Linked DNA regions of Struthio camelus. The protein of the gene in region 3 purifies or fractionates together with the protein of the main gene of each other region. This does not show direct contact. Links are inferred from orthologs where the notes say so. Each region holds a gene or a part of one and is shown on either strand. Other genes may lie near its edges.

What was found.
Region 1: the proteins of STRAP (region 3) and SZRD1 purify together in Homo sapiens (co-immunoprecipitation; 3 studies listed by BioGRID and IntAct, counting the BioPlex papers as one, with this or other methods). This does not show direct contact. The link is inferred for Struthio camelus from reciprocal best matches to the Homo sapiens genes STRAP and SZRD1.
Region 2: the proteins of STRAP (region 3) and TGFBR1 purify together in Homo sapiens (affinity purification with western blotting; 3 studies listed by BioGRID and IntAct, with this or other methods). This does not show direct contact. The link is inferred for Struthio camelus from reciprocal best matches to the Homo sapiens genes STRAP and TGFBR1.
Region 4: the proteins of STRAP (region 3) and CSDE1 purify together in Homo sapiens (affinity purification with mass spectrometry; 3 studies listed by BioGRID and IntAct, counting the BioPlex papers as one, with this or other methods). This does not show direct contact. The link is inferred for Struthio camelus from reciprocal best matches to the Homo sapiens genes STRAP and CSDE1.

Annotation. Positions count from the first base shown.
Region 1 is NC_090962.1:13,572,316-13,579,723, reverse strand, and holds the start of SZRD1 (SUZ RNA-binding domain-containing), read left to right. Parts: upstream 1-4,405; 5' UTR 4,406-4,415; coding exon 4,416-4,571; intron 4,572-7,408.
Region 2 is NC_090943.1:78,044,845-78,052,275, forward strand, and holds the start of TGFBR1 (TGF-beta receptor type-1), read right to left. Parts: upstream 3,009-7,431; 5' UTR 2,748-3,008; coding exon 2,672-2,747; intron 2,044-2,671; exon of another isoform or gene 1,511-2,043; intron 1-1,510. UniProt on the Homo sapiens protein: Transmembrane serine/threonine kinase forming with the TGF-beta type II serine/threonine kinase receptor, TGFBR2, the non-promiscuous receptor for the TGF-beta cytokines TGFB1, TGFB2 and TGFB3.
Region 3 is NC_090942.1:71,984,865-71,991,818, forward strand, and holds the start of STRAP (serine-threonine kinase receptor-associated protein), read left to right. Parts: upstream 1-3,934; 5' UTR 3,935-3,949; coding exon 3,950-4,748; intron 4,749-5,965; coding exon 5,966-6,101; intron 6,102-6,930; coding exon 6,931-6,954. UniProt on the Homo sapiens protein: The SMN complex catalyzes the assembly of small nuclear ribonucleoproteins (snRNPs), the building blocks of the spliceosome, and thereby plays an important role in the splicing of cellular pre-mRNAs.
Region 4 is NC_090965.1:10,109,202-10,116,937, reverse strand, and holds the start of CSDE1 (cold shock domain-containing protein E1), read left to right. Parts: upstream 1-4,730; 5' UTR 4,731-4,874; intron 4,875-5,010; exon of another isoform or gene 5,011-5,403; intron 5,404-7,736. UniProt on the Homo sapiens protein: RNA-binding protein involved in translationally coupled mRNA turnover.

The DNA.
Region 1 (7,408 bases), on a different chromosome or scaffold from region 3:
ACGCCATCACGCTCATATCCCAAATTGAGGTCAGCGGCATTGCAAGTGAAACGCGTCTTAAGCTAATACACGTCCCCTTTAGAAAAGGGGATGGTGACTTCTACCAAGATCAAAGCTATCTCTGTCCACATACATATTTACAGCATTTCTTGTGCAAGGCTGTTCCAGCTGCTGACCTGCAGTATAAACAAGTCTCCCTAACGATATTTAAAGCCATTTTAACACAAACAGCATCCCCGCCAATTGACTAGGTTATCCTACAGAGAAAAAGCAGTCCCCCTAATGAACTGATTCACTACACCACAGACAAGCATTTCAGTTTAATAAGGCTTTGCCTGACTTGTCTTTTGTTCTTCCTCCTAGCACAGATTCGAGTTTGGATTAAGTGCAAGATACCAAGGGCGATATGCTTGCTCTCGGAGCACAGGAGAGAAACGCCTGTGGTATATACGCTCAGATTTGAAAACCCAAAAAGGTTTGAGGCAAGAGACATCGTTCCAGAGAGGTTTGGGCTGCACCTTGCTTACAGCAGACGGTAACGCTCCTGGAGCGAGACCTATGCATGGCAGCGAGCTCTGCAGTAGCGCTAGTCTGTTCAACACTTCCACGCAGCCCAGCTGTGACCAAAAAAAGCCATTCTTACACCATTGCCAGGATAACATAAAGCAATACCCCCAACCCACACTGGGCGGATCAACACCAGGCTGACCAACACTACTGATTTAACACACTGCTCTCAGGACAACAACAAAAAAGAAATCACACCGGGGGAAGCATGCAAATACAGATCTTAAGTCGAGATGTGAATTCAAAGTTATCCAGCACACCGGGAAATCCCACCGAGACTCATTTTTGCCCTGAGACACGAAAAAACGGTGCATGGCGTTGCCAGCCGTAGCATAGCATGATACCAGGCTTAGCGTAAAAGGCAGGTAACTCCCGTGGACGCAGGCTTTGGCGTTACCTGAAATCCACTGCTGCCTCCCCAGCTTTCCAGAGCGAAATGCGTTTTTTAGGCTTTTTTTGAGGGGGGGGGATTTTTTTTTGGTTTGTTTTTCGGTAGGTCTGTCCCCCCCACCCAAGGGTCCCCAGAGGGGCCCCCCGGGAGCCGGCCTCTCCTCAGCACACAACGAGGCCGAGGCGAGGAGGCAGCTCTACCCTCCGGCCGCCGCGCAGCTACCGGAGACCGGGAACCGGGGCGGGGGGGGGGACGACGACGACGACATGGGGGCCCCAGCGGGAAGCGACCCCCCCACAGGGCCCCCAACCGCCGTCCCCGCCGCCCGGGGGAGCCCGGCCCGGCCCGGGGGCCGCTCCTCACCTGCCGGCGGCCGCCCCCCCGCCGCCGCTCAGGGCCGCGGGCGCCGGGGCCGCCCCGTCGCCCGGGTGACGGCCCGCGCCGGCGCCGCCATCTTCCCTCGCCTCAGCGGCCGCGTCCCCGCCGCTCCGGCCGCGGCAGCCAGCCCCCACTGCGCACGCGCCGGCCAGCCCCGCGTCACATGAGCGCGGTGGGGGCGGGGCTGTGTGTCGTCAGGTGGGGCCAGCGCGCCATGATGGGAAGGTCAAGCCCTCCCCCCGTCCCCTAAGCCTGACGCCATGTTGGGAAGGTCTTGCGTGGTAGTGTTGGGCGGTGCGTTTGGTGTCCCCTCCCTCCCCCCCCCCAACTACCACCGCCGCCATGCTGAGAGGGGCGGGCGGGCGCCATGTTGGGGAGGTCGGCGGTGGCGGGAAGGTGGCAGGGCGGCTCCTTCTCCTTCGCGGCCTCCCCGCAGGCCTCGTCGCGGCCTGCCCTCGTCGGTCGGCCGGCCTGCCCGCAGCCGGCCGGGCCCCTCACAGCCCCGCTTCGCCCCCCCTCCCCCGCGGCGGCGACGGGCCGGCCGAGCTGCAGCGGTAACTCCGCAGGCCGTGGAGCGCCGGGCCCGCTTCCGACGGGGAGCCGCGGCCCGTCACCTCAGCCGCCGGGCAGCCGGGCCCGAGGGGCCCCGATCCCGGGAGCGGCGCCGAGGGGCTTTACGTTTCGGGGCGTCGCTGCTCGTCCGGGGGAAGGGGGCTAACGAGCGCCTCAGGGGCCAGAAACAGGCTACGGAGGAGCTGGGGGTGCCGGGACGGGGATTTGGCACGGCATAGGCGAAATTAGCGGGATGAGGGCCCGTCCGGTGCCCCGCCGGTTCTCTCCGAGGGAGGTTTGCGGGTAGAAATACCGAAACCCGCCCAGGGGACGCACGTGAGGTTGCCTGCCCATGCTGCTCGCCCCAGCGGCCCTCTGGGATGGGAAGGCTCAGGGCGAGCGGTGAGGATTTGCCTGCTTTTCGCTGGAGTTTTTAAGGAAGCCGGTCGCCATCTGCTGGAAAGCTGCGACTCCTGGCTTCAGTGTTGGGGTCGCATGCAGAAAATTCAGTTTCTCTAACTGCCTGCCTGAATGTTTTGCTTTTTCAGGATGCCAGAAGGAGTCGTACGGGAGGCGTTGAATTCTGGATTTGCTCCCAGTGGATCTCGCCCCAGCAGTCTTTCGCTTTTCAAACCTCAGGCTAATGTGTCGGCTTGACAGCTATCCCAGATACAAAAGAGAGAAACCCAGTAAGTGAGCTTTTCTTTTGGGAGATCTATTCCGAAGGGTCGAGCAGAAGTTATCCCTCCTCTCTCTTAGGGAGAGGTAAGAGGAAGGTAGTTTCAAACACCAAAAAGCTTAGCTGAAAAGTGATACGAATGAAGATGATAGAAAGACACACGGAGAGGCCCTCAAATTTCTGCCAAATGCCCAGATAAACTCACGCCTGCCTGCCTCTAGGGCCAGCCTGTCTGAAACCTGAGTTGAGTTCATCCTGGCTTTGCTGGGATTTGGAGGCACCTGGGCAGGAATGACCTTTCCCCCCCACGCCCTGCCCTGCCTTTCATTTCCCCCCCCCCCCCATTGCAGGGTGTTCTGAATGCTGCAGAGTTGCGAGTTAATGTCTCACAGTTTTAAGCCGCGAGGGTTAAACGGTTTCGGTTAACGTCCTGGCAGAGCTGAGGCACCTCAGATAATGCCTCCACTTCTGGATCAAGCCTCGGTGCCAACCTTGCTTCCGCACCCAGCTCCGAGAGAGCTTGTTATCCTGAAAGCAGTAACCCCAGCACAGAGGGAACGCGGCTCTGAACAAAGTTTATCTTCAGTTACTTGTTATTTTGCTTGGGATGGTACGTTTCACCCGCATGCAGGTGGTGCGGTGGCGATTTATGCCCCGTTGAGTCTCACTGGGGTTTACACAACAGGCTGTAAGAGGTGTCTAAGTGCTGCTCTGGGTATTTAGGCGTGAAACGCTATTGCTTGAGCTTACTGCCCCGTTTCTTTTTCCTGAGGTTGATGTGCAGCAGGGCCAGTCCCTAAAGTTATCTTGTTGCTGACAATCGTGCCGATGCAGCCGGAAGATAGCAGCATTTTCTGAGTTATTATCCCTTCACTTAGGACGTGTTCAGAATGCAAGCATTTTCCTTTCAGTCTTGGCCCTGAATTTCTCAGTTAAGGCCAAAGCTGGCCAGATCACAGGCACGTGTCGCATGGAGGCAGCACGTGGGTGCCCCAGGACACTTGTGTCGCATGGAGGCAGCACGTGGGTGTCCCAGGACATGCGTGTCACATGCGGGCAGCACATGGATGTCCTAGGACTCGTGTATCACGTGCGGGCAGCACGTGGGTGCCCCAGGACATGTGTGTCACATGGAGGCAGCACGTGGGTACCTCAGGACATTTGTGTCGCATGCTGGCAGCACATGGGTGTCCTGGGACACGTGTCACATGCTGGCAGCACGTGGGTGTCCCGGGACACGCGTGTCGCATGGAGGCAGCAAATGGGTGTCCCAGGACACGTGTCCCATGTAGTCAGCACGTGGGTGTCCCAGGACACGTGTGACATGTGGGCAGCACATGGGTGTCCCAGGACACGTGTCACATGTAGTCAGCACGTGGGTGTCCTGAGACATGGGTGCCCCATGTCAGCAGCATGTGGGTGTCCCAGGACACGTGTGTCGCATGTAGTCAGCATGTGGGTGTCCCAGGACATGTGTGTCACATGTGGGCAGCACATGGGTGTCCCAGGACACGTGTCACATGTAGTCAGCATGTGGGTGTCCTGAGACACGTGTCCCATGTCAGCAGCACGTGGGTGTCCCAGGACACGTGTGTCGCATGTAGGCAGCTCGTGGGTGTCCTGAGACACGCGTGTCACATGTAGGCAGCACGTGCGTGTCCCAGGACACGCGTGTCGCATGCGGGCAGCACGTTGGTGCCCCAGGACCCGCGTGTCCCGGGTCCGCCCTCCCGGCAGGGGGCGAGCGCGCTGCCTCCCGCGCCCCTCACCGCCGCACGTGGCCGCCCGCAGCGGCCCAGCGCGCGTGCGCGCGCCACCCTCCCACCGTCCCCGCCCTGCGCGCTGCGCATGCGCGCGGAGGGCGCGCTGGTAGGCGGCGGCGGCGCAGGCGCCGGGGGCCGCGCGCATGCGCGGGGCGCGGGCTGGCGGCGGCGGCGGCGGAGGAGAATTAAAATGGAAGATGAGGAGGTCGCTGAGAGCTGGGAGGAGGCGGCCGACAGCGGGGTAAGGGCGGCCGGCGGGCGCTGCGGGGCGGCGGTGGCGGCGGCGGGGAGCGGCGGCGGCGGCGGGGCGCCGTCTGAGGAGGGCCCGGGCGGCGGCGCCAGCCCCTGAGCGCCTGCTAGGCCTCTTAAAGGGGCCGCGGCCTCCGTCCGCGTGGGGCCGCTCCTCCCACGCGCGTCCCCCCGGCGCCCACCCGCGCTGCGAGGCGGCCCCTCGGCTCTGGGCGGCTGCCCGCACCCCCCCCCCCCACCCCTCCGCCGCGGGCTCGCTGCGGAGGGCCTGGGGCCGAGGCGCAGGCGCGCTGCCGGCCCCACGCGAGCCCGGCGAGGGGCAGGCGCCGGGGGGGCCCCCCCCGCGGCCGGTGCGTGGGCTGCGTTTCGTGGCCTACAGCTGGGAGTCCGCGAGGCAGAAGCCCTTTCTCTGTGTCGCTATGCCTGGCTGTGGTCCCTCCTTAATCTCTTTTTAAGGCAAAACGGGGGTGATTTTCGCGCGGCCAGCTATAGCTTTCAGTTTTCTAGCTGAACTTCCTTTTAATAGCTGGCTTAATAGCTTAAGTTTTCCACCTGTCTGTCGCGCTGAGAGGCTCTGAAGCACGCTTATACGTGTTTCCCATGCGAAATGAAATCCTTATTTTGGCAGCAGCGTAGGTGGATGATCGGCGGGGTATTCACAACTGCACGAGGAAGGGAACTGTGTGAGACGGGTCGCTGTTTTAATAACCTACGTGGGCCCTTTAGTGAGCGGAGGGCAGAAGGACTTTATAACAATTGCTGTGCAAGAAGACCGAATTTGACTCTGGTCAGTGCTGTGCTGCAGGAGATTGGGTTACCGCTTGTGGGAAAGACGTTAGCAAAATAGAGCTCGTAATTCAATGCCCTCCCCCAGCTGCGTGCGAGATGCCAGTCGAAGGCTGGCAGGGTAAGGAAAGCCCTCGCTGCGTACCCTGCCAACGCTGTGATACTGCAGTAATGGGAAGTCTTGCGCAGGGCGGTGGAGTTAATTCCAGCGCTCATTAAAGCGTTCCATGAAGGGACATAACTTGTGTCTCGGGAGTTGATGATAGCTGTGGCCTTGAGTAATAGCTTAAAACTGTAGGGCTGTTCAAATCTGAGGCATCAGTTGTCTTTTCCCTTTTGTCCTTTCAGCTTGCACCTTTTGATGGTCTTTTAAAACACTTGTGGGGAAATATCTCGGTTGTCTAGCCTTTGTAAAGTCCTTTCCCAGCACGTCCGAACTGCTGAGCCTTTGCATTCATAAATTCAGCAGTGTTTGTGCTGCTTAGGGGAGAACAGAGAGATGTCTTGAGGCGCTGACACCATGCTTGCAGCTGCTTTTACAGTTGTCCAGGCTTTGCATGTCTGTAAAAGCAGTGGGAACAAAAAACCTGCTTGTCTCTAGTCGGCATTACTGTTACGTAAGAGGAGACATGGAACCTGCTTTCAGGTTAGATCTGGCAACCATCACCAGGAGACTTCAGGAAGGTCATTCTCAAGCAGTGACTTGCAGGAAAGAGACCCTCTGCTGCTGCTCGTGGCCACAGGAAGTTACAAGCTAACTGGAACGAACAAGGAGAGGAGAACCTGATCTTGTCCGATGTTTTTCTTGAACCAGATTGATGCCAGTGCACGTTGGATCTCTGAGCTACTACAGGAATCAAAGCTGCTGGGGTAGACTGTTTCAGAAAAGAGAAAGAGGAAGAAAGTACAGGAAGAGGCTTAGATGCAGAGCAGGCAGCATGGCTGCCTTGCTTGCTTGCTAGTTGAAACATTATTTCAAGCACCCTTGCTTTTCCTTGTGAGAAAACCTGCTGTAGATGCAGGGAAGTGCTTTAACGAGACCGATCCGCTGGAAGCGTGAGAGGAAAAACTATGTGCAGAAAAAGCTTATGAACTGGCCTGATCCTGTGATCACAATAGTTACGGTCTTAAGGAGTGTTCTTCGTTTTCTTCCACCCGTATCTTGTTAGCCTTGGGTTACGAATTGCCCTCTGGGGTGGCACAGGACAAATCCCAAGTTAAAGGCATGAGACATGACAACATTCCCATTCAGTATTGAATAGGAATATCCAATGAAGCATTAAACATAACAAACATTAAGCAGCAGCTTTAAATGCTTATTCGTGTTTGAATACTTCACGCAGTCAGGAATGTAAACCTGAAGAGTTGTTATTTTATAGCCCCTTCAAGCACATACACGTAATACTTTCCAGTTGCATCTTGGTGAAGTACATGCTATTGACTCTTCAGCTGATACTTGTCACTTATGTTGCATGGAGTTGGGCCCACAAAAGATTATAATGTCGACCTTTAATCACTGAGGAAATAGACGTGTAATGAAACAGGTCTGTGGAGGGCTTCTGAATGGTGGGATTTTGAGATATTTTCCCTGTTTCTTGGCATGTAATTTTTTTTTATATGCCGTCCAAAGGGCGTTCCTTAGAACAGAAAGGATGCCAAGAATTTGGGTGCTGATCTTTCCCTTTTTGGTGGCTATTTTGCTGTTAGGTTACTAACTTTCGCTCTAGATCTTGGTATAGCGCTTTCAGAAGGTAGCCTTGGCAAGAGGCGGTTCTGGGCTGACTAGAGATACCGTGGCCTCCTTGTGCTAACATCGCTTCGTTTAGCTATTGCAGATCCTTCCCTTTTGAAACGGGCAATACTAAGATCTTACCAGGTAGAGGGAAAGCCAGTGAGCTTTGAAGGGGAAAGCCCAGACAAAACGGACGCAGATCTTTGGCTTTGGACTTGATCAGTGAAGTAGCTGTAATACAGCCACTTAAACACTTTTTTTTTTTCTTTTATGCAGCTCCTCTTTGTCTTTTAGTTTTCCGAGTCATCAGA
Region 2 (7,431 bases), on a different chromosome or scaffold from region 3:
ACATTTGGAACGATCCTAGCTTAGAAAAAGTAATGTTATGTTCTTTGTAGTGTAGGTGCCGAATGGCACTATCTATTTTTGCAACTCAGAATTGTGCTCATGCCTCTACAGCAAAATACAATGTTAAAAATTTGTTTCTGGTGCTTTTCATGGAAGAGTATGTTTTAGAAAAACAAAAAAAAAGTTAGAATTAGAAACCTAGATCTTCCCCTTTGTTGTAATTTCACCATCTTTGTGAAAAAAGTAAAATGAAGAACTCTGTACTTTTAAATTGACTTAAGCATACAAATCAGGTTCACTCATTATCATAAATAAGAATGAATTGTGTGAACATATAGGATTTCCAGAGGGTGACCTCCCAGAATTTTGGCAAGATGAAAGACTATTTATGGTTCACAACAGTTAACCCCCCAACCCCTACACACACACGCGCAAAAATCACACTCTGCCTTAAAAGTTAGGGCTGGCTGACAGTAGTTCAACTAGCTGCTGTGATCTGCGACATTTCTGACCTCCACATTAGTGATATCATGAGAGGATTCATTCCTGCACTAATGCTAGCATCAGAAATTATCAGAAAACGCCCAACTTCTGTCAACCCACGATAAGAACACTAAGTAACAGTACACAAAGGATGTGTTGCACCACTACTTTGTCAACTTGGACCACAACGTTCAGGGAAAATAATCCCATTCCCAATTTCAGAGAACTTGTCTATGAGCTAAGGACTAAGGATCCCAGACTATAATAATGGGGATATTAAGAAGGCAGCGGGGGGGGGGGGGGGAAGAGCACCACACCCACACACCACTTCCATCCTTTAGCTTCTCTATGGAAAATTATTTTAGCCTTGGAAATCTGGTCTTGTTCCCAAATAAAACTCTTAGACACTGCTTTCATAACTGAAATTAAATGAAAATTCTCGATTGTTCAAAGGCATTAAACAGGAAAAGAAAGGCTCAGAGCTCAAATCAAGGTAAAGTTTCCCTCAATATCTAAATTTAATATTGAAAGCTTTAAATTATTGAAGGCTGATGCATCTTTTCAAGTGTATACACAGTAATTTAAGCTTACTTCACTGCTTCCATTTCAAAAATTCTCCATCTTCTTCAATAAGGATATGGGCGATTAATATGGTATTTTAGTATTGCAAGTTACATTTTGCCTTAGGTAACATTTTCTTTGCAGCACAATTACTAACTTAAAGTGAAACGTAAGCAGCATAGTAAGAACCAGATTGAGGCATGTCTTAAAGCTATAGTTGAAAAAAGTCAGAGTACATCTCCTTCTCCTCTTTAAAACCCAGAGCAATAGGCATGCCACCTATAGAAGAATTTGTAAGAGTGGCACTTGCTATAAAAAACAGCTTTTGTACATCTATTGGCATCATCTAATATATACAGAAGATGTTGAAACCTAAATCAGTTAAAGTAAGGCATTATGTATCATTTAAGTCTCATTACCACATATGACCCTACTGCTAAGTGAAGAACAAAATATGCTTTTTTTTAAAAAAATCACTTTAGTTTTTCATTCCTGAGTGTCATTAACAACCTCCGTTTCATGCGTTACCTATCCAACGGTACAGCTCTGATATCATCTCTCTCTTACAAGAGAGCAATAGGTGTGGAGTGGCCAGAGGGCCATAAGTATTTTATGCACGATACTCACTTAAGACCATTTCCCCGTGTTCTGGGCCTCTCGGAGCACAGCGGTCAGCTGTTCAACTACAACACCGAGATCACCTACCCAAATCGTCACCAGTTCTCAGAACTGGCACAGCGGCAGCACGCCACAAGGCGCGTTAGCTTCCCTAAAGCATCCAGCCCGGGACGTGGGAGAGCCTTTCCCCTGCCCTGCGCGGAGCGTTCAACACGTAGCTAGCTGCCCGCACTGCTCTCTCGGCGCCCTCCCCGCCGTACCGCCTGCGAGCGCCCGCTAACACGCCGCGAGGAGCCCGCCAGGCCCAGCAGCTTTCCCCTCGCCCGCTGAGGGAGCCACAGGCAGACAGAAGTTTTCCGAAGGAGACACCATCCCCAAGCGGTTAGTTTGTACAGTCTGCTCCGCTCCAGCCACAAAACAGCAGTGACCTCAAGGGAGGGAGGGGTGCGCTCCGCGCTACCTTGGCGGGCCACAGCGGCTCGCCCCCTGGGGGGGAAGGGGCGGCCGGGGTCCGCCACAGGGAGCGGAGCCAGCGCGGAAGCCGGCCGGGGTGGGGGGTGAGGGGGCAGGCTGTCCCGGGGAGACGCCGCTCGGGGCGCTGCTCTCCGCGGGGCAAGGCAGGCGCCGGCGCGGGGCAGAGGCTGCTCTCCCGAGGCCGCGGCGGGTGCCTCGTCCGTCCCTCGCCGCCCCCTCAGCGCGAACCGCCGCCGCCTCTCCTCGCCCCGCCGCATCACGTCTGCCCCGAGCCGCGGCCCCGCCCTCCCTCGGAGCCGCCGCTGCCCTCGGCCAACAAAGGGACGCGCCGTCCCCGGGCTCTGCCCGGCTCGGACACCGGGCGGGGTGGGGGGGGGGGGTGCAGAGGGGGCGACTCCGCCCCAACCGGCCCCTCCGCCATATTGTTGAAAGGAACCGACGGGGACCCGCAGACCACCGCCGCTCTCCGCCCCGCCGGCGCCACCTCCCGCGCTTCCCCCCTCCTCGGCCTCCCCGCGCGCACACATGCACTCACCGGCCGCCGCGGGGAAGAGCAGCGCGGCCACCAGGCACCGCAGGGCCCAGGGCCGCCGAGTGGCCGTTAACGCCATGGTCCGGTCCCGAACCCGCAGAGCGAGGGCGCGCGCGCGCGCGCACCCGCGCGCCAGGATTCCGCCTCGCGACTCCCGCCCCGCCCCGCCCCCCGCGACAGAAACGGAGAGAAGCGCGCGCACCGCCTGCACCTCCCCGCCTGGCCGCGGCCGCTCGTGCAACCGACACAGGGGCTCCGCCTGATTGGCCGCTCCCGACAGCCCCGCCCCGCCCCGCCCCGCCGGCAGCTGCCGGGCGCCCGAACAACAACAGCAGCCGAGGAGCGCGAGGGGCGGGGCGAGGGGCGGGGCCTGGGGCATTCCCCCCCCCTCTCCCCCGCGGCGGCCTGTGCGACACAGCGAGGATCCTGGCGTGGGGGAGGCCGGCGCCCCCCAGGCCCCACGGTTACCTTCACACATTCCCCCCCCTCCCCCGCACCTTTTTGGGTTTCGGGCGTGTGGCAGGGCCAGAGGACGGGCGCTCTGGCCCCCTGCCGCGGCCGGGTGGCCCACCCGCCCCGGGGTCCCCGCAGCCCCCTGCCTCCTTTACCAGGGCCTCAGCCAGAGGCCTGCGGGGCCCGCCTGCGCTTCGGGACTGCTTTTGTTGCTGGGCTTCCTTGCGCCGTGGCCCTCCAGTCGTAGGGCAGGTGACATGTCGCCCACAGGTGTTTTTTTTTTTTTTTTTCCACGTGTTACCTGCAAGTCACCCTTTTTGACGCATTTTCAGCAAGTTTTCGCAAGCTTCGCGCGCCGCCCCAGGAGTTCAGGCCTGGCCTCCACCGGACTGCGGCTTCCCAGTCCGCAGCGCCCAGGGCGGCTGCCACCGTCCTCCCCGGCGCTGCCTTTCGCCTCCTTGTCACGCTGATTTACCGGCTGTTTTATCTGCGGTTGTTTAGCTGACACAACCTTTATAAAAAGTCTCATTTCTCTTACATTCTCTCATCTGCATAAGGATCCTGTTAATATAACGGTTCAAAATGAGGTAAATATTTATTAATTCATTCTTTTCCACCTTCTCTCCTAGCAACCATCAGCATCGTATATGAACAGCCTCTAGTGACATTTTTTTTTTTTGCTGAGCAAAATACTATTTTACTTTAAATATCCTTAGCGACAGTTAGTATTAGACCAAACATCTGGATTTGATACAGATTCATGCCATAATTAAATATTGAAGTTGGCAATACCAAGTGAACACATTCTTAGTTATTCAGGTATAGAAATACGTAAAGGCCTAATCCTCAAGTGAAATGATATTCTAGCATCAGTAAGACAGTAAGATAGCATCCTGAACGATGTTTGGCTGCCAGACAAAGAAAGAATAAAGTAACTCGCAGGTGACAGCTCACCAGCCAAGATGGTTTCAAGTCTCTTGCAAGCAGTGAAAAGTGCCAGCACAAACTAAATACTTTTACCAGGCATCACCATTCTTTCAGAACAGAAGATCCCTATTGAAGAGACACCTACAGTTCTGCCATCCCTTATCCCGATCCCTGGGTGCATATCTGTGATCTTGGGAGCCAGGGTAAACTCAGGGCAAAAACAGCAACTGCAAAGGTCCTCGAAGAGCTTCTCGGGGCTCTTCTGGGAATCATGCCTTGCCTCACCTGCCGTACTTCTGCTCCATGCAGGACTGGAGGACTCTGTCTTTATGAGGGTCACGTGAGGGGTGCTTAGCATTGCCTTCTGTGTGGCGTAGTAGATTATGTTTGATAATCTGTTTGATAGTGAATCTGTCTTCTTTGCTATATAAGACAGAGCAGTTGGATGAAGAAAAAAAATGAAATACAAATGACAGCCTGAGAAGATTTAAGTCGTCAGCTTTTTCCCCCTGTATCTGCAAACAGTCGAATGCCGATCCACAGAAAATCAGGAGAACTTATGAACATACCTGGTTACATTCATCCTTAAATATGCTAGTTAGGCAGATGAGGCTAGCTCGTGTTTTAGATATTCACATAGCATACTCCTTGCGAAAATGGAACAATGAAAAAGTTTCAATCCAAAGGACAAAATAGTGAAGGCTGTGCTTGGGTGTCTCTTAAGACACTGGCTTACAGCAGATCTGAGGCAAAACTGACATTATGCTACAGAACTCAGATCCTCACCATGGCACCCTGCAAGTTGTGCTCAGCTCGGTTCCAACCTCAGACATTGCCATTACTAGCTTCTCATCAGCTTGAGCCTTTAATTAGGAAAAAAGGAGCTCCCAACATTCTGCTTACGATTAATGTACTTGGAGTTTCCTGCTCCCCTAGTGCTGGCCTTAACAATTGGACTTCCCAAATTCATTGCTTACCCCAGTTCAGTTTTCCTACAGACTGAAAAAGCTCATTCCCAAATTGAGAGGATAATTTAACACCCTTTCAACGTAAGGAAATCTGACACAGCAAACGGCCTCCAAGATATGCCCTTGTGTAAAATGATATTTTATTCAAGAAGAAAATAGCTCTTCTGCAATTTCATATTTTTCAAAACGACGGTAACTGCTTGGCCTTTTTCTGCCAAAATAACATGAAAAAGATTGATTTCACTGAACAAATTTTTCAAGTCTGATAGAAAGCAACTCCTCACCTTTGTGTATTTATGATACTTTAACCAGGTACAGTAAGTGTTTGTGCTGCAGCATTGTCTTGCAAGGGAATCCTTCAGACCACTTCTTGTCTACTTTAGCCCATCTTTGTTCTCCAGGTGCTTCCTGAGAATGGAAACAACGTTGTAATCAGTGGAAAGATATTAAGAAGAACAAGCAAGAAGCAGTCATATCACCTCGCCTTATTTATGTCATAATTCATTGAATTTCCCCCATTCTGGTTATAGAAAGGCGCAAAAAATTTCATCATTTGCTAATGCATAGAACACAATGCAAAAAAACATAGAAAATCCAAATTATCTGGCCTTATGAGATCTGTTTAGATCATTAAAAAAGACTGAGTCTATTTAAAAAAATATTTACTTTTTTGATTAGGTAGAGCGGGCTATTTTACAGGGAATATCTGCAGTTTAAACACAGGTTCATTACTAATTTCTGAACTGGAATATGGCATTTAGAGGCATTATATAAAATATGCAGCTCCCACAGGGAGGGAGATGAAAGAATTGAGGTTTGCTTAGTGCTAGCTTTATTTCTTGTAATAATTATTGTCAGTTTTTGAGTGGGTTTTATGATTGCTTTCTAGAAGATGGAAAGCAAAACACTGCAGACTGCATGGAGGGTTCAAACAAAACTCTGTAGTGCAAGAAAAACACCTACTAAGAAACTACATGGATCATTAAAGTATAACCAATTTTGCAAAGGGACAAATGATGAGATAGATAATTATACAAAACATAAAATTTTCTCATAAATTTTTAGTCTTCAATTAAGATCAAGGATATGAAATTCCTTGTTTTATATGCTGATTTACTTAAGAACACAGGCACTAATAAATAAAATCTCTCTTAGCTTTTAAAGTGAAAGATTATGGCCGTAAGGTAGGAAATATTATTAATGATGATCAGTAAAAGCTCTATTTGTGTTTCAATGTAAGAGATATTTAGGCTAATAAAGCAAAGAATTCTGAAAACATCTGAACAGTAATATAATGAAACTATCTTTCAGCGATAAATATGCACAGTTAGTCCTAGTGCAAGAGGAAGTACAAATATTGCAAAGCTGCATTTGTAGAATTCTTATCACAGTTTTCTCTCCGTGATAATAAGTGAAATTTTATGTGCTTTTTTAACTACTAGTCAGTGTATCATGATATTTACAAATTATGTTCATCAGGGAACTCGGCAAGAGAAAAATACCAAATGTGTCATTTACCAAACTAACAGAATACGTCATTTTCAAAAATAAAAATTTCAGGTGGTGCTTGATTTTGCTGATCAGTTTTACTCAAGTCAGGACAGAAGGGACTAAGGTGTTCATTATCATGCCTTTTCTACGAGCACACAAATCAGGAAGTTTAGCACAGATCTGTGATGCTACTAAATCATAAAAAGGCAAAAGAAAATAATTTGTTGAAGTCACTGGTTTATAAAATATCTAGAATTATTCAATTCATATCATTTATAAGCAGTGCCTGATTTACCTTATCAGTGCCTCAAAAACAAAATACAGGAGGATCTTAATTAACAGAAGGTCAGTTAAACCTTAAGTCATATGAAACCTTTTTCCTTTTAATTTATAGTCTGTGAAACACATCCGACAGAGGTATCTCAGAGGTATTAATTGGGCAGCCCAGCAATACGCCACCTCGCTGCGCAGCTGTTTGGTCCCTGCAGCTAACAAGCTCCTTATTCTACTGCTAAGAGGTTTGTGGATATATTAGTGTTGTAAGTTCTTAGTCTGCAATTAAGCAGATTGCTGTAATGACAGTTTTGCTCTGCAGCTATTAAACCTCTCAAACATAATCTTTCTTTCTAGCTTCTAGAGTCCATTAGCCTCAAAGCTTGTTTCCTACACATACAGCATTCAACCTCATTTGAAATCAGATATGAATGGATTTAAAGAAAATGGTGTTGACTGTAACTCATTAAAGAGTGGTAATATCAAAAACTCCTGTGTTAAGTCAGGCTCAGGAGTTTTGCTTTTGCCATTAACACTGCCAGTAGTAGGTTACTGCTTTAATTTATGCTAAAAGCAGGGAAGGAGAAGCATATAGCCTAAGACACGTTACCAAACACAGAAGTGACTAAGAAGACTGGTTATGTTAGGGAG
Region 3 (6,954 bases):
GAAGAGCTTCTGTGGCCCAGCCCTCACCTTCCCTAGACCTATGTTAAAAGAACTTATACGAAACTAGAAACCGTATGGCCACCTGCTGTGAAAGACTGATAATAGGCAGGACTACTTGACTTCAAACACACACTGTTCCATTACTTGTGAAATATGATTACATCTGCTCTTTATCTTTCATCTGGTTACTCAGTGATAATTGACTGCTCAAGGCTGGCACTCAATTTTAATTATCCCCCCAGTGAAAACACAGCGACAGGCTCTGCAATTGCTCTCATATCTGCACACAGCATCCGTAACGCAGTATCCTTCCACAAAGAGTAAATCCTTTTTTTTCGCCATAAATTAGCTGTACAAATTACTAAGGTATATTTCTCCAAAGAAAAACTTTGTTAACAGAGATAAAGATGCCTACAGATCAAAATGAATGTTTTAAATCTGCAATATATTAGAATAGCTTAGATTCAAAGTCCTCTAACAAATGGCTGCCCTGTTGCCTTCTCTAGTGGCACAGGTAAATTTCCATTTCCCTGTTTAGCACAATTCATTTCAGAGAACTAAGCATCTAGTAACTTCCTTAGTACTGTGTCAACAAAGTGGCTACACAGAAGCTGAAATAAGCATCAACATGTCATCTCACTACCATCCAGAATTGCTAATACACTAATAGATATGTAAGGAGCTCCACTTAGTGGCAAGAGAAGACATTTTCAACAACAGTGTCTAGCATGGGCGGAAGACATCTCTGAAATGTAAATATGTATACTAAACACTCTCTACTTAATTCAATCTCTGCGTGACTCATTTTAATCAAAGCACTAGAATCGTGACCTTTCACTAGGATAGCTTTATTCATGTTCAGTAACAATTTCTGAGAAAATTCAATCACTGGCTGTGGAAAGATGTTGTTTAATCAAGCAGACACTCTGAATTATAAATGATAAGTGAAAGCGAGTTTTGCCCAGGTGCTTTATAATCTATGACTGACATACTTGTTATTCTGTTCAGTAATGGGGATTAATCTGTATAATTACAAGATCCTGATTACTTCCTGAATGAAGTTGGGGTTGATGAATATTTACTTTAGATAACTCCCCAAGACAGTTATTTGGATAATAAATAGATAAATAAACATGAAACTTTGAATAAAAATTTTTTTGCAATTTTTTTTTTTTTTGCTTTGTAACACTATTCGATATATAATCCCCTTGGCTGAAAAAAATCAAAAACCCTCAATATTTTTATTTCCTGCTTGCTAGGCTTTCTTTCATTAGTAAGTAACTCCTTCTCCTACCTTTGCTTCTTTTTCTCTATTCTTTTTTGAAAAACTGAATGACTGTTTCACAGTTCCCAGCTTCTCTAACCATCTCCTTAGTAGAAGTAGTCTCGCTTGGGTGTACAGAATTAGTGCATCTCTAAATTAAAGATTTTCAAACTGAGGGGAATAAGCACATCTAAATAGGGATTTTACTAGGTAGCTAAGAGGAAGGCAATGGTGGGGGTGAAGCCAAAGCGAATATAGCTAAGGCCAAAGGCTGTCAGGCTCCGTCAGAGGAAAATGACCGCTCCAAGCACAAGCAGAGAAAGCACAGCTGATAGGCATGACTAAATTAGGATATTTTTCCTCAGCAAGAGCCTCCAACAGTGCTGGATTGGTTCAGCATTTCCTCTTGTTCCTGCTCAGAGCATATTCTGCCTTTTCCCTTCTCACTTTGCTCCTGTTCCTGCTTGAAACGCTTCCTCCTGGACACATTCTCTCATTCCAGTTGCAGTGGCACCATGGCAGTATGTTTCTCCTTCCTCAAATCCAAACACGATCCGTGGTAGTATTTTCCCCTCCTCATGCTCAGCTTGAGAAATGTGGTATAAAAAATTCTGTATTGGAATTGGGATAGAGATACAGAATGTACCCTGGAAGACAGGAAGGAAAAAGTGCGAGACCGCTGCTGAATAAACTCGCTTACTAAAGTATGCCATGCAAGGTATAACCTGAGTTAGGCCTAGGGTAAACTCTGGAGATTTTTAATTATTATGCTACGGGTATTATTAGGTCTAGGTATTAAAGTCTTGATTTAAGAAAACATGTAAATACCTTTCTTTTCACTATTATTTCCATATGTCCTTAATCATGTTTCCCAGAGATAATAAAGGTGCTTCCCACAACTGTACCTTTAAAAGTAATATCCTTCTATATCACTATTAAATCTGGACTCTAAAGGTTAAGAGACAAGGAAATTCCCATACCTGAGATCTTTAAGGTATAGATCTTGTCCAGCTATGTGGCCATGTTTCACGTTTTTGATAGTTTTCCTTATGTTGATGTCTCTCCCACTTTAACCATATTGATAATTTATTTTTTGCTTATTTAAGCTCCCTGTGTTTTAGTAGTTTTGTCCACTTGCTGGTCTAAACAGCTAAACAATGTCAATATCATATCTAATAGCAGCTGCACAGCACTCTGAAGTTTGTATACAACTCTCTAGTTTTTTGATTACATGAAAATTTGAAATCCTTAGAAGGAAATGAAACTATAAAATGCAAGCTGTATTTTTACTGTAGTAGGAATGGAAATATCTTCAGTGTGGAAGGCAAAAGCCAGTTACTTTCTGGAAGCCACTATCTGGTACAGTATAGAGCATCCAGTGGTTGGAAAGAAGGCAAAAGAGTGTGGTTGGGACCTATAGGGAAGCACAAGGCTGTGGTTTACCTGGGAATCAATCAAGTACCTAATGCTGTAATTAGGTACTGTAAATACAGGCACCATGTGGGATCAGTGCTTATGTGATCATCTACGTGTTTATACTAAGTGCATGGACCAACTGATTTATAACTTTTATAAAACTGAGCAGTAGTTGATAGCATACAATCAATATACAGGTTTCTATCCGATAAAACAAAATTTCCTCAGAATGAAACAGCAGTTAACAGCATGGTGCCTAAGTTCTGCCTAAGTCCTGCATTAGGTGTCAAAAATCCCTGTTTAGGGATTTGGCTTTAGTGACACCCATCATGTTCCCTACTAGAATGTTCACGTTCCTGCAGCGTATGGAAAACTTCACACATAGTATTAACTAATTTTCTGTTTTTAGGATTTTAAGAATGTAGTCATAGGTTTGTTGGGTCTAGTAAGATTTTCAGTTCAGATTGGATATTATTGGTTTCACATCTCAATTGTTTATCTCCTTTTTTGATTTGCATCTGCCTTCATCGAACTGCAAACATTTTTGCCTTATCTGTCTCTTACAAGTATCTCTCTACCTGGATATCATACTGTTGCTTTGTGTAGGACAAAAAACACACTCCAATTTTACAGAAGACTAAATTAATCCAAGCAACAAAATTATTAAAAAGAAACTGCCCTAAGCACATGTCAGGATCCTCAATACTGAGTTTTAAGTAGGTAAGTGTTTTCTTAATGTTCTTTTGTATCTTTACTGACAGTTGGCTAACCCCTTCACTGAAAAATTTATATAGTAAGTTACCAGAACAGTGTTTTTTAAAATATAAATCCAAGCAGAATAGCTAACTAGGAGACATACTTCTACATTTATATTAGCCTTTGAAAAACCTAATTAAATGAAATTTAGCTACTCAAAATTTTAATATTCAAGAGCCCTGTAAGCTTTTTGCTTACAGTAAATGAAGTAAAAAAAAAGTAAGTAAATAAAGTAAGTTAAAAAGTACATTTAAATATGCTGCTCTAGGCAGAATGTGGCTTATTAGCAATTCCTTGTGAGAACTCAGGAAAGTTGAAACATCAGGAGGTCAGAAAGCAAAATGCAGTGCCTATCCTGAGCTGAAACATCAGGAGGTCAGAAAATGAAACACGCTCCCTATCCTTTAAAGAGAAACAGCAGAAGACTGGAGTTATGTCAGCTTCACCTACCTGCTGACAATTTAAACGTTACTCCCAGTTTTAACACTTAAAAAGGGAGATGAATGACAGCCTATGCGCTCCTGTCAAGAAGGGGTACAGTGCCGTACTAGTCTAAGTTTTCAGTCTGTTGACAGAGTGTTTTCAGATAAGGCTGGCAGGCTCCTTCAGCTTCAGGTAACATCTTCAGACGCTTCTTGGGGAAACAATCCCATCAGCGTGGCCGCCTTGCATTTTATGCAAGGCCAGACGGGCGCTGCGGGGTATTCTGGGCTCCCCATTTTCCGCGTCTCCCCACCTCTTCCTCTGCACGCAAGGCCTACGCGGCCCTGCAGCCGGCCGTGCTGGGATCGAGACCAACCGCAAAACACTGCGTTTCTTTTTGGCAGCGTTGATTTGCTGCTGCTGCAGGAGCCCGAGCGGAGCGGAGGAGCACCAGCGGCGGCACAGAGGAGTAACTGTAAGGGGATAAAGGCCGCAGGCAGCCCCCCTCCCCTCAGGGCGGGCTCGCCGCGCCTGCGCAACGGACCGCCGCCCGCCCCCCGCACTGCCGCTTCCGGCTCCGCACCCGCCCGCCGACGTAGTTTCCGGCCTGAAGCGTTTCCGCTGCGTCATTTCCCCCGCCGCCCCGGTCGCCGTTTCCTGCCCGGCCGGAGGGGGCTCGTGTCCCTGCGCGCGCGCGCCCCGCCCCCACCCACCTTTCCAGCCGCCCGCGCCCCCAACCGCCGCTCCGCGCCCCCAACCGCCGCCGCCGCCGCAGCCATGGCGATGAGGCAGACCCCGCTGACGTGCTCGGGGCACACGCGGCCCGTGGTGGACCTGGCCTTCAGCGGCATCACCCCTTACGGCTACTTCCTCATCAGCGCCTGCAAGGGTGAGGCCCGGCGGGGGCGAGGGTGGGAGCGGGGGCGGCGGGGAGCGCCGCCAGGGGCGGCGGCGGCCCCTTTGTTCATCCTCGGCGGCGGGCAGGTGAGGTGGGGGTGGTCCCTCGCCCCTGGAAGGGGTGGGTGTGTGTGTTGGTGGTGGTGGGGGGGCGCTACTTAGGGAAGCGGGAGCGCGGGCAGGAGGCCGCCTTAGGTGAGCCGAGCGGCCGGTATTAGCGGCGGATGGTCGGGCTGGGGTGCCCGGGTCACCTAGCGAGACGCTGGCGGTCTCACGATAATACCCGGTTTCAGCGTTATCGAGTGAGAAAGAGCCTTGACAGCTGGCAGTGGCGTTGCCAGTTTAACCTGTGCGCTTTGAGAGTTTATTCGGTTCGGGTCGAAACTGTAAAAATTAAAAAAAAAAAAAAAAGAAAAAAAAAAGTGAAACTTCTTACAAAATTTTGTTTCCGAACTAGCCTGTTTTTACCTTCTGCACACGTGTATTGTACATCTTAAATTGAAGTTTCTTTTTTTAAATCACGGTGGCTGTCAGGGTGGATGTAGAATGGTGATGCCACTTTCCTTTAGCATGAGAACTTTCCTCTGCTCATTATGAGAATAGTATTTTGACTTCATACATGTGAATATTAATCTATGTATGTATTCATGATCTCCCTCCCAGCGTTGGAGTGCTTCCTAGTCAGATTTATTTCTTCTCCTGGGTGCAACTTTTTTTTATAGCCTCCCAGAAAAAAATAACCATAAGAAAGATTTTCTAATTCCATTTCATTTTCTCTCTATATTTTGAACATATAAACATAAGACTCCTTTTTGGGCAATGCTAGTCTGAAAATTTTTTTCTAAAAACAAAAGAGCTCTTCTGCCTGTAGAGGAAAACTGGAGTAAAACCAAAGCTAAATGCTCCTTTCTCCTTCTTTATCCCTTTTCTTCCTTGAAAACCCAAAGAAGTTTTATATTTACTTTGCAATAGTATTTTAAGGTCTGTATAGAATTCTAGATGTTCATGGTAGGTGCGGCTGCATATCTAAGCTCTTTAGCTAAACTCTTTTTCAAAAAATAGCATCATAAAAATACATGCTATTTCCCTGAAGGGAGATGTCTGGTGGCAATTTCTTTTTTATTCCATGTTGGTGTAAAGGAGTCTTCTTAAAGGTAGTATCGTTTTGTTTGATAACATTATCTGAATATTGGTTTTGTTTCTGTGAAGATGGTAAGCCTATGCTACGTCAGGGCGACACAGGAGACTGGATTGGAACGTTTCTAGGTCATAAAGGTGCTGTTTGGGGTGCTACTTTGAACAAGGATGCCACTAAAGCAGCTACAGCAGCAGCTGATTTTACAGCGTAAGTGATTATCTGCTTTTGAAGTCTCACTCTGTTTTGATTTTTCAGTCAATGATATTTTTAGTGACATAGTTGTTATAAGTTATTGATATATCTGTTCAGTAAATTATTAAGCTCGTTTATGAATAGCTAAATTAAGATCTAGAACTCTAGACTGTTGAAAGTATAGCTACAGTTAATTTTTTTTGGATAACTTTGATTGCTTCTTGATCACAACACTTAATTACCATAGTAGTCTGCCGGAATAACGTTTTATTTCCAGCTCTAATCTTTAGCATGGTAGAGTGCTAAAATCAGAGTTGAAAGAGTGATTTTTGTTTTGCTCCTCCTAGTTATCACTTTTTATTACTTGTTTTCTGTTGCTTATAGCTGGGGCAAATAAGCTCAGTGATACCAACGTTTTCATAGCATCGTAGAATTCATAATAGCCACCATTTCAAGGTTTAAGAATATATCAAGAATTCTAGAAAACTATTGCAGAAATTTATTTATTTATTTTCTTTACTGTCTGTAGTGTGTATTAACGTTTGGTAATTCGAATCCTGTTAGTAGAGGGCACTTTATATGAAGTCACAGAGGACAGCTGCACTTGTTTATCTGTAAAACTGAAATAATAATAATTCTGCATTATCTTGAAGAGGGGAAATTAAAATAGCAGGATAGTGCAAAAAAAACATTAATAAAAGCATATAAAGTATTCTTACTGGCTAACTGGGTTATTACTTATCAGAATGTAGTACTTAGGACAAAGTTGTTTACAAGCTGATCTGACTTCCAGGTTGATTTGTCTCAGTGCTACAAAATTTAAATGTTTTCTCTTGTCATTTAGCAAAGTATGGGATGCTGTGTCAGG
Region 4 (7,736 bases), on a different chromosome or scaffold from region 3:
CTAAAAGTGTGCCTTCATCCATGTCAGGTGTAGTGACATCAGCTGAGATGTGCATCCTGATGACTGCTGCCTGCTTTATATTTCAGTGTCTAAAAATAATATAATAACATTAGAAATTTGATTATCCCTTACAGCTGAAGTTAGGAGTATGTTAAAATATATGTTTATCTGTGATTAGAAATAGCAAGCTTGTTCGACCTCATCAGATCTCTTATTCTGTATTCTTAATTAGAACGGGAACCATCCTAAGTCTTTATACTGATAACGTTCATTGCCGCTTTGTGTTGTTCAGGTCTTCAGAAGTATATATTTTTTTGTTCCTTCTCTCCTAGTAATGTAAAAATGTCTTGTTTCCAGTGCTTATTTACAGGAATTGCTCTGTCTATCAAGATTTGTCATTTGAACAAAATTTCTAACGTTGTTCTCTGGCACTGCTTTTGCTTCATTGTAATAGCATAGGAACATGCAGCTGAAAAGACCCCAGAGGAACCTAGTACATTCTCTAACTCCAAGATGGAATGAATATACATAGATTATTTCAATATCTAGCCAGAATCTTTTGTATTTCAAATTAAGTCCATCCCTTGTACCCAACAGGTGGAGAACAGTAACAACCTTTTAATATCTTTTAAAGAGTTACATTCTTACTGAAACTGTCTCTCTCTTTAGAAAAAAAAAAATCATTCTTTCTTCCTGGATTAAATTTTCTAAGCCTTTCTTGTTCCTCCTGCTCTCTCCTAGATGCTTTAATTTGTTTACATCTTTTCTAAATAATGGAATTCAAAACTGGATCTACTGCCCAGATGATGCACTTCCCTTCCAAAGGCAGAGCAGAGTAATTACTGACATGTATTTAAAAGGAACCTACCCTATTACGTTTATCTGATATTCACAGAATCACAGAATCGTTTAGGTTGGAAGGGACCTCTGGAGATCATCTAGTCCAACCTCCCTGCTCAAGCAGGGTCACCTAGAGCATATTGCCCAGGATCACATCCAGACGGGTTTTGAAAATCTCCAGGGAAGGAGACTCCACTACCTCTCTGGGCAACCTGTTCCAATGCTCAGTCACCCTCACAGTGAAGAATTTTTTTCTCAGGTTCAGATGGAACTTCCTGTGGTTCAGTTTCTGCCCATTGCCTCTTGTCCTGTTGCTGGGCACCACGGAGAAGAGGCTGGCCTCATCCTCTTGGCACTCCCCCTTCAGATACTTATTCCCCAAAAGTGCCTTATGATAGCCTCATATTTGTATGTTACGCTAAAATGACAGTTCAGAAGGCTTCCAAATCCACTTCTCGCTATTTCCTTCTTGCCAGCTGTCAACATTTTTTTTTATTTATACATTCAAGTTCCTACCTGAATTTATATTTTGAACTCAAATGCTCTTCAAACAGGAAGTAATGCTACACTATATGCAGGGAATTTTCAGGGGTTCTGAGGTTCAACTCTTAAAATGCATCTTCTGAAGGATTAGAGCTGTATCTAGATAGATTCTGTTAAAACTGCCCCAGGAGGCTTTGGGTTTGTTTATTTTTTTCCTTGCTTGGCTTCCTTTTGTTTGCCTTCCTTCTGAAATGAGGTTGTTTACTTCATGTTTGTATTTAATTATGAAATATAATTTGCTTTTATATTGTGTATTTGCTTTTATAAGTTCTGAGTCAGGCTTTTCTTATTTCTAAAGCTATATGTATACTGATTGCATCACATGAACCGGAATCTGTTGTCTTAGTCGTTGTCACACTTGCAACAATTTCTCTATTACTGTGTAACAATGCCTTATATCTTGCTGACTGATCCAATTCTGTTAGACTTTTCATTGATGTTTCATGACAGATGAAGAAAAGGTTCATGTTCTCATCTTTAAATAATGTACAACTTGGAAAGGATTGCAAGTGTTTTGAAGGAGAAGATTACAATTCAAAATAGGAAACTAGTCCAAAAATAAAGAAAATTAAAAGTAATCGATTTTTAATAGGTTTACTTGGATAATATACTACTGCTTTTGCTTGAACATATTGAATACATTGCTTTTATGTCTTTCAGGAAATTGAAGAACAAATAGACAGAATATATGAGATGGGAGAAGTGATGAGAAAAGCTATTCAAGTCGATGATCATCAGTTCTTTAAAGTTCAAGAGAAACTAGCTCAGTTGGAGGTAAGAAGTGGTATAATTGCTAACAGTAGATCTAGATTTTTTGAATTTCTAGACTTATCCTAAAATATTTTTTTCTTTGTCCATTGATAGAAAAGAGAATCAGAAAGAGATGCTTGGGTTGTCTATGTATATGCCAAGGATTTATAACATTCAAAAATGGGGGGGTGGGAATAAGGAAAATTATCTGCTTCTTCTAAGTAGTTGATGTTCGTTTCTTATTATATATAAAACCAGAAGTAAAAGATATGCTTTAAATGATTTGGGTCCCCTCTTGCTAGTGCTGCATTACTCCTAAATTTACAATATCAGTGTTTTATTTAGTTGTCAATGAGTGTAGCTATTAAAGATGATAGTCCTTTAATTGTGAATGAGGTCATTTTTATTTCAGCAAAAATATTGATTTTGCAGCTTGAAAACAAAGAGCTCCGTGAACTTTTGTCAATCAGTAAAGAATCTGTTGACGTGAGGAAAGAAGATCTGCCTGACAGTGAAGCTCAGGTCACAAAATAACCCTATTTCCAAATTTTAACTTCTGAGAATACGAGGAATCCACCCTACAAGGAAGGATGGTTTGTGTTTTGTTCTTTCAGGTGTTTCCTTGTATGTCTGTTTTATCTTCAGAAATGTGCAGCCTGTTTTCTCTGCATTTTTCTGAAAGTAGACGCTCTGATGGCAAAGGCTTGCTTTGCTGCTCGGTCTTAGTAATTGCAGCATACAAATGCTTAACAATGAAGTGTTTATGATGACCTACTCCCTTGTGATAGTTTATTTTCTCTCATAAATGTTGTTTTGGATCAGCTTCAGTTAAGAATGCCAACTATGCAGACAGCACTTAAATTATTTTATTTGACAAAAACAATAAGAGATTATTTGAAAATTATATTGTACATGGCAGGCACACATTTTGTTTTCCTTTGAATACCTAACACAAACAGCATTCGGTTGGGTTAACATTCTTACTGGGAAACAGACAACTTTCTAGAAGCAGATCAAGAGAAGAGCAGGTAATCAATTGTGCACTTCCCTGAATAACTTCATATAAGGGGCATACTTTGCCTTGATTTAGAGGGGAAAATCAGAATGAATAGCCCTTTCTCACACTTCCACGTGTCAATGTAGCGTGTCTGCCTAGTGTTCTTGTTTTCTTTCTTTCTTTCTTTTTTAATGGGTAGACCTATTCTGGCTCTACCTGTGCTGCAAGGTGTGTGGATTTTGGATAGCTCTGATCTGAGGCACTGCTCTCAAGCCAATAGAGTAAGCCCTGCGGAGAACACAGCACTTCCAGATCAAAGCTGTCTGGCTTCCCACTACTTTGGGCTTCAGGAAGGGTGAGCTCAGGTCTGGCTCAAAAACATTAAGCCAAAACCAACCAAATAGACCTGTTTTTAATGTTATATCACAGGTAAGTCTAGTGACAGATGTTGTGTAGTTATTGTAAAATCCTGTATTGAGTTAAATTAGAGTTGCAATGTCTAAGAATTTGTCAATATTGTGGTATTTTTAATGACTTTTTTTAATAAAAGATTTGTCTGTCTGTCTTATTAGTGATCAAAGGATAATCCTTCAGGAACAGCAAGGCCCTCATTCCCAGCATTAGTTTAAATTGTTATGCCATTTTTTCCAAGTGAGAATTTTATAGATGCAGAAGGTGATTTAGGTCTTGTGCCTAAGACACAAAGAGAATTAAGAGACATTTCTTTGCCACCATCTGGAACACCCAGAGAGATCGTCTGGTAGAGATGAGGGTTTTCTGTACAGGACTATCCTTATATAAAATCATTTTCTACTTTAAATTATTTCTTAATAGGGAATAAAAATAAGCATGGACAATTATTTTCTCAAGCGTGTTCAGTTTTATGAATCCTGCTGATAATTCAGTCTGTTCTGCCTGTGCCGGAAGCCTTTGTCACCCACTCTGCTTTTTGCCATAGTCCTTGAATGTATGTACTGCAATGAAACGCTTTTGGTCATTGTATTTCTTTTCAGTTAACATAATCTGAGCTGTCTGTGCCAGTGCATTTACACTTTCTTCTGATAGGCCAAATGCTGTGCAAACCTAAAAATGGGAAACAGAAGCAGCTGATTAGAGAGTTCATTATAAATTAGCAGGAGAAAGGAGGAGGAGGTTTAAATGTGTTAATTTGTTACTCTACTCCCCTCTGTAACTATGGAATCGGTGACGGTAGATATCCGAGGGTGTGTGACCCTGGAGGGGGTTTTCAGAAGAACCTCCTCCCCTCGTGCTGAAAGTTGGACACTTCACTGTAGAGAACGCGGCTGCTTCTGTCCTTGAAATCCAAGTACAAAGCACCTCCCGACGTTGCCTCGTCGCGCCGGGGCGTGGGATGAGGTGGAAATGCGCGGCCGCCCCTCCCTGTGGCCCGGGGCGGCGGCGAGAAGCGGGGCGCGCGCGCGGCCATTGTGCGGCCGCGGGGGAGGCGCGCGCGGCGGAGGCAGTAACGGCTCCGCGCGCGCGGCGGCGGCGGCGCCCGTTGGGCGCGCGGCGCTCGGCCGCACAGCGCGGGGGGGGCACTGGCACGCGCCTGTCGCTCCATTGGCCAACGGCCAGGCGCGCATGCGCGCTGAGCACCCCGCGGCGGCACCTCGGCGCACGCGCGGCTCCACCCCGAGGCTCTCGCGAGAGGCCGGGATTTATTCCTACGTGCTGTGCCGTGCTGCTCATGGCGGCGCTGGAGCGGGGGCGCTGAGCTGTTGGGGTGAGTACGGCTCGCGGCGGGTGGCGAGGACGCCTGCCGCTGTGGAGACGGTGCCCGCGCACACTAGGGTGTCCTGGGGGTCCTTAGGGGGCGGTAGTAGAGGTAGAGGGAGCCTCCGAATCTGTATCCCCCGTACCTGTTGTCCCAGCGGTCTCGGCGGGGTAAGCTGCCTGTCCACTTTCCCCGGCTGCGCGGGGCGAGGCGGTCGGGTGGCCGGCGGGGCGCCGGCCTGGTAGGCCGCTGCTCCTCGGGAGGGAATACTGGTAGTTGCGAGTCAGTCGGCCGTCGCGGCGTGCGAACTACGTTTCCCGGCGTCCCGCGGGCGGACGCCCCGCCGCAGGGACTCTTGGGAGCTGAAGTCCCGCCTGTCAGTTTAGGCGGGGCTGGGGCGGCGCCGGAACTCGCTTTCCCGGCGTGCCGCGCGGTCCGCTCGGCCGCGGGGCTTGCTGGGGCCTGCAGGCCGAGAGGCGCCGGCCTTGCTGCCGGTCGTGTCGAGGGGACTACGGGTCCCGGCAGGCGCCGTGCGAGGACGGGGTGCGGGGGCTCGCGGGGCCGGAGCTGGGCGGTGGCGGAGGCGGCGGGGGGGGGGGGGTAGGTGGACCGCGGCTCCCGGCAGGCCGCGCGCGCAGGCCCGCCCTCGCGGGGACGAGGCCCCCGTCCCTTTGTGTGCGGGGGCGCGGCCGCCATCGCCCCCCTTTGTGTGTGGGGAGGGCGACGGGCGGCGCCTCGCTCCTCGGCGCCTGCCCTTCCCCTGGGCCGGGAAGCGGCGCAGCGCGGCCCCTTTCCGCTGTCACAGCGCGGCGGCGCGCGGCCTGCGCCGGGCTGGGGTCCTGGCGCCGCCCCTCGGCGCCGCCCGCGCCGCGGCCACCATCTTGCGGCAGCGCAGTGCGCAGGGCCTGCTCCGCTGCCGGCCGGCCGCTCTGGGCGGCTCCGTCGGTTCGGGCCTGTTTCTCTGTTGTCTGGGTGGACAACGAGCGCCAGGCTCTTCCCGACTGCCGACCCCTTCACAGAAAACGCTCCTTTGTTTTTGCTGTTTACATCCATTGCTGATCCTAAATGGATATATGCGTTAGGCAGATGTCTGTCGAAGTCTATAATGATTTTTCTGTAGCTGCGTTTTTTGACCTAGAATTGACATACCTAATTCAGTGAATGTTGACAGCTGACCTCACTGCTGTTATGTTTTGATCGGGGCGTTCAGGAGTTAGTATTCTTTCTGATGTTCAAGAGGCTCCTCTGAAAAATTGTGGAGTAAGTTAATCTCCAGATGTCATCTCGTAGCAGTGTTGTGCATGCTGAAAATACAGTGCTTAATCTTTATTGAACTTGATCTTAATCACTTAGAAGATGGCTAATTCTAGAAACACGTTTTAGTTGTGTAAAATATGTATTCTTACAGTTGCATACCTGTTCTTTTGAAGAAAGCGAGAAACAAAAAAGTGGCTGTAGTTTGGCAGGTTCTCCCAATAGGCTGTGTAGGTGATTTCAAGCAGAAAACATGCTTATGTGACAACCTGTCACTGTTTAATAAAATTCAAGACTTCAAGAAGAGGACTTGTGCACCTTTCTCTCTTCACTGTCTTTGCATTAATCCTTTCAGCTGTAAATATACAAATGCAGAGAGGCCAGCGATACTTGGGGGCTGGGCAGCTGCTCAGGCTGTTTACCATTTGGAGGAGTATTTATAGTAGCTGAATTAAAAAGTAAAGAATTTGAGGCAGATGCACGCTGATTTTACTGGAGTTATACTTGCTTGATACCCCCACCCCCTTTTTTCTTTTTAATGACAGTAGTAGTAAACCAATCATGTGATCAAATCAAACCAAGCTTTTAAGGTGAAAGCTTATGCTTTATTCCATTACCCGATTAAAGCAGCTTTAGGCATCTTTGGGTAGAAGAGATGTCTGGGTTATGTTCTGTGGCTAGCCAAAGGTATATGACATTTTTGAATGTCTAGTATGAATTATGTTACTGTTCCAGTAGAGTTCCGATCATCTTGGACTAATTAGATGAGGCAAATACTTGAATAAAAGGTTCTAAATGTCTCTGTGCTGTTCCTGTGATGCAGTGTGTGCCTGCTTCACTCCTCTTGAACTTCATGGGAGGGGCAGCTCATTTGCTCTACAAAATGCTGTCCAAAACATGATACTGTTCTGAAAGAGATTGTTATAAGGGTTGCCTGTATCTTTCAAGGAGGTATGTGAAAAATCTAGTGGGACATGTATTTTTGTGAGAGCTTTGAGTTTTCTGATTTATGTTTTTTATAATTGAATCTTTCTCTACAAGCATCTCGTACCAGATTTGTTTGGTATGGGGAAGAAGGAAGCAAGCTGAACTCATATGTGATATTTCTGGGAAATGCTGTGTTTAAGTCACCTTTAATGTTTGTTAGACTGATAATTGTTAAGCCTGCTGTGGGTAAAATGAACATTTGATAGACTTGCTTGTTAAGTTGATCCTGTTCTGATTTGATTGTGAAAAGAAGAACGCTTTCATCAAAATTTTTCACTGTGGAAAGTATGGTTTTATTAGGACTATTTTAAGAAATATTATGAAAGTAGTGTTTTCCTTGTTGTTTTCTTCTTTTGTTTTTTGATTTTTTTTTTTTTTTTGGACTATCAATCGTATAGGGAGGTGTGGACTTGTTTTACTGATATGGCTTAATGTTAAGGAAACTGGTGTGAAACAAACTATATGGATGAAAAAGGTTACAGCTCAAAGACAAAAAGCCTCAGCCTTTGGCTTGAAATGGGTTTTCTTGTCAGACCACTACACATCAACAAATGAGATTAATTGAGAAACTGGATGAGGGTGTTCTGTGTGATGACTGAAGGAATATGTTTCACATGGATGAGAAGTCAC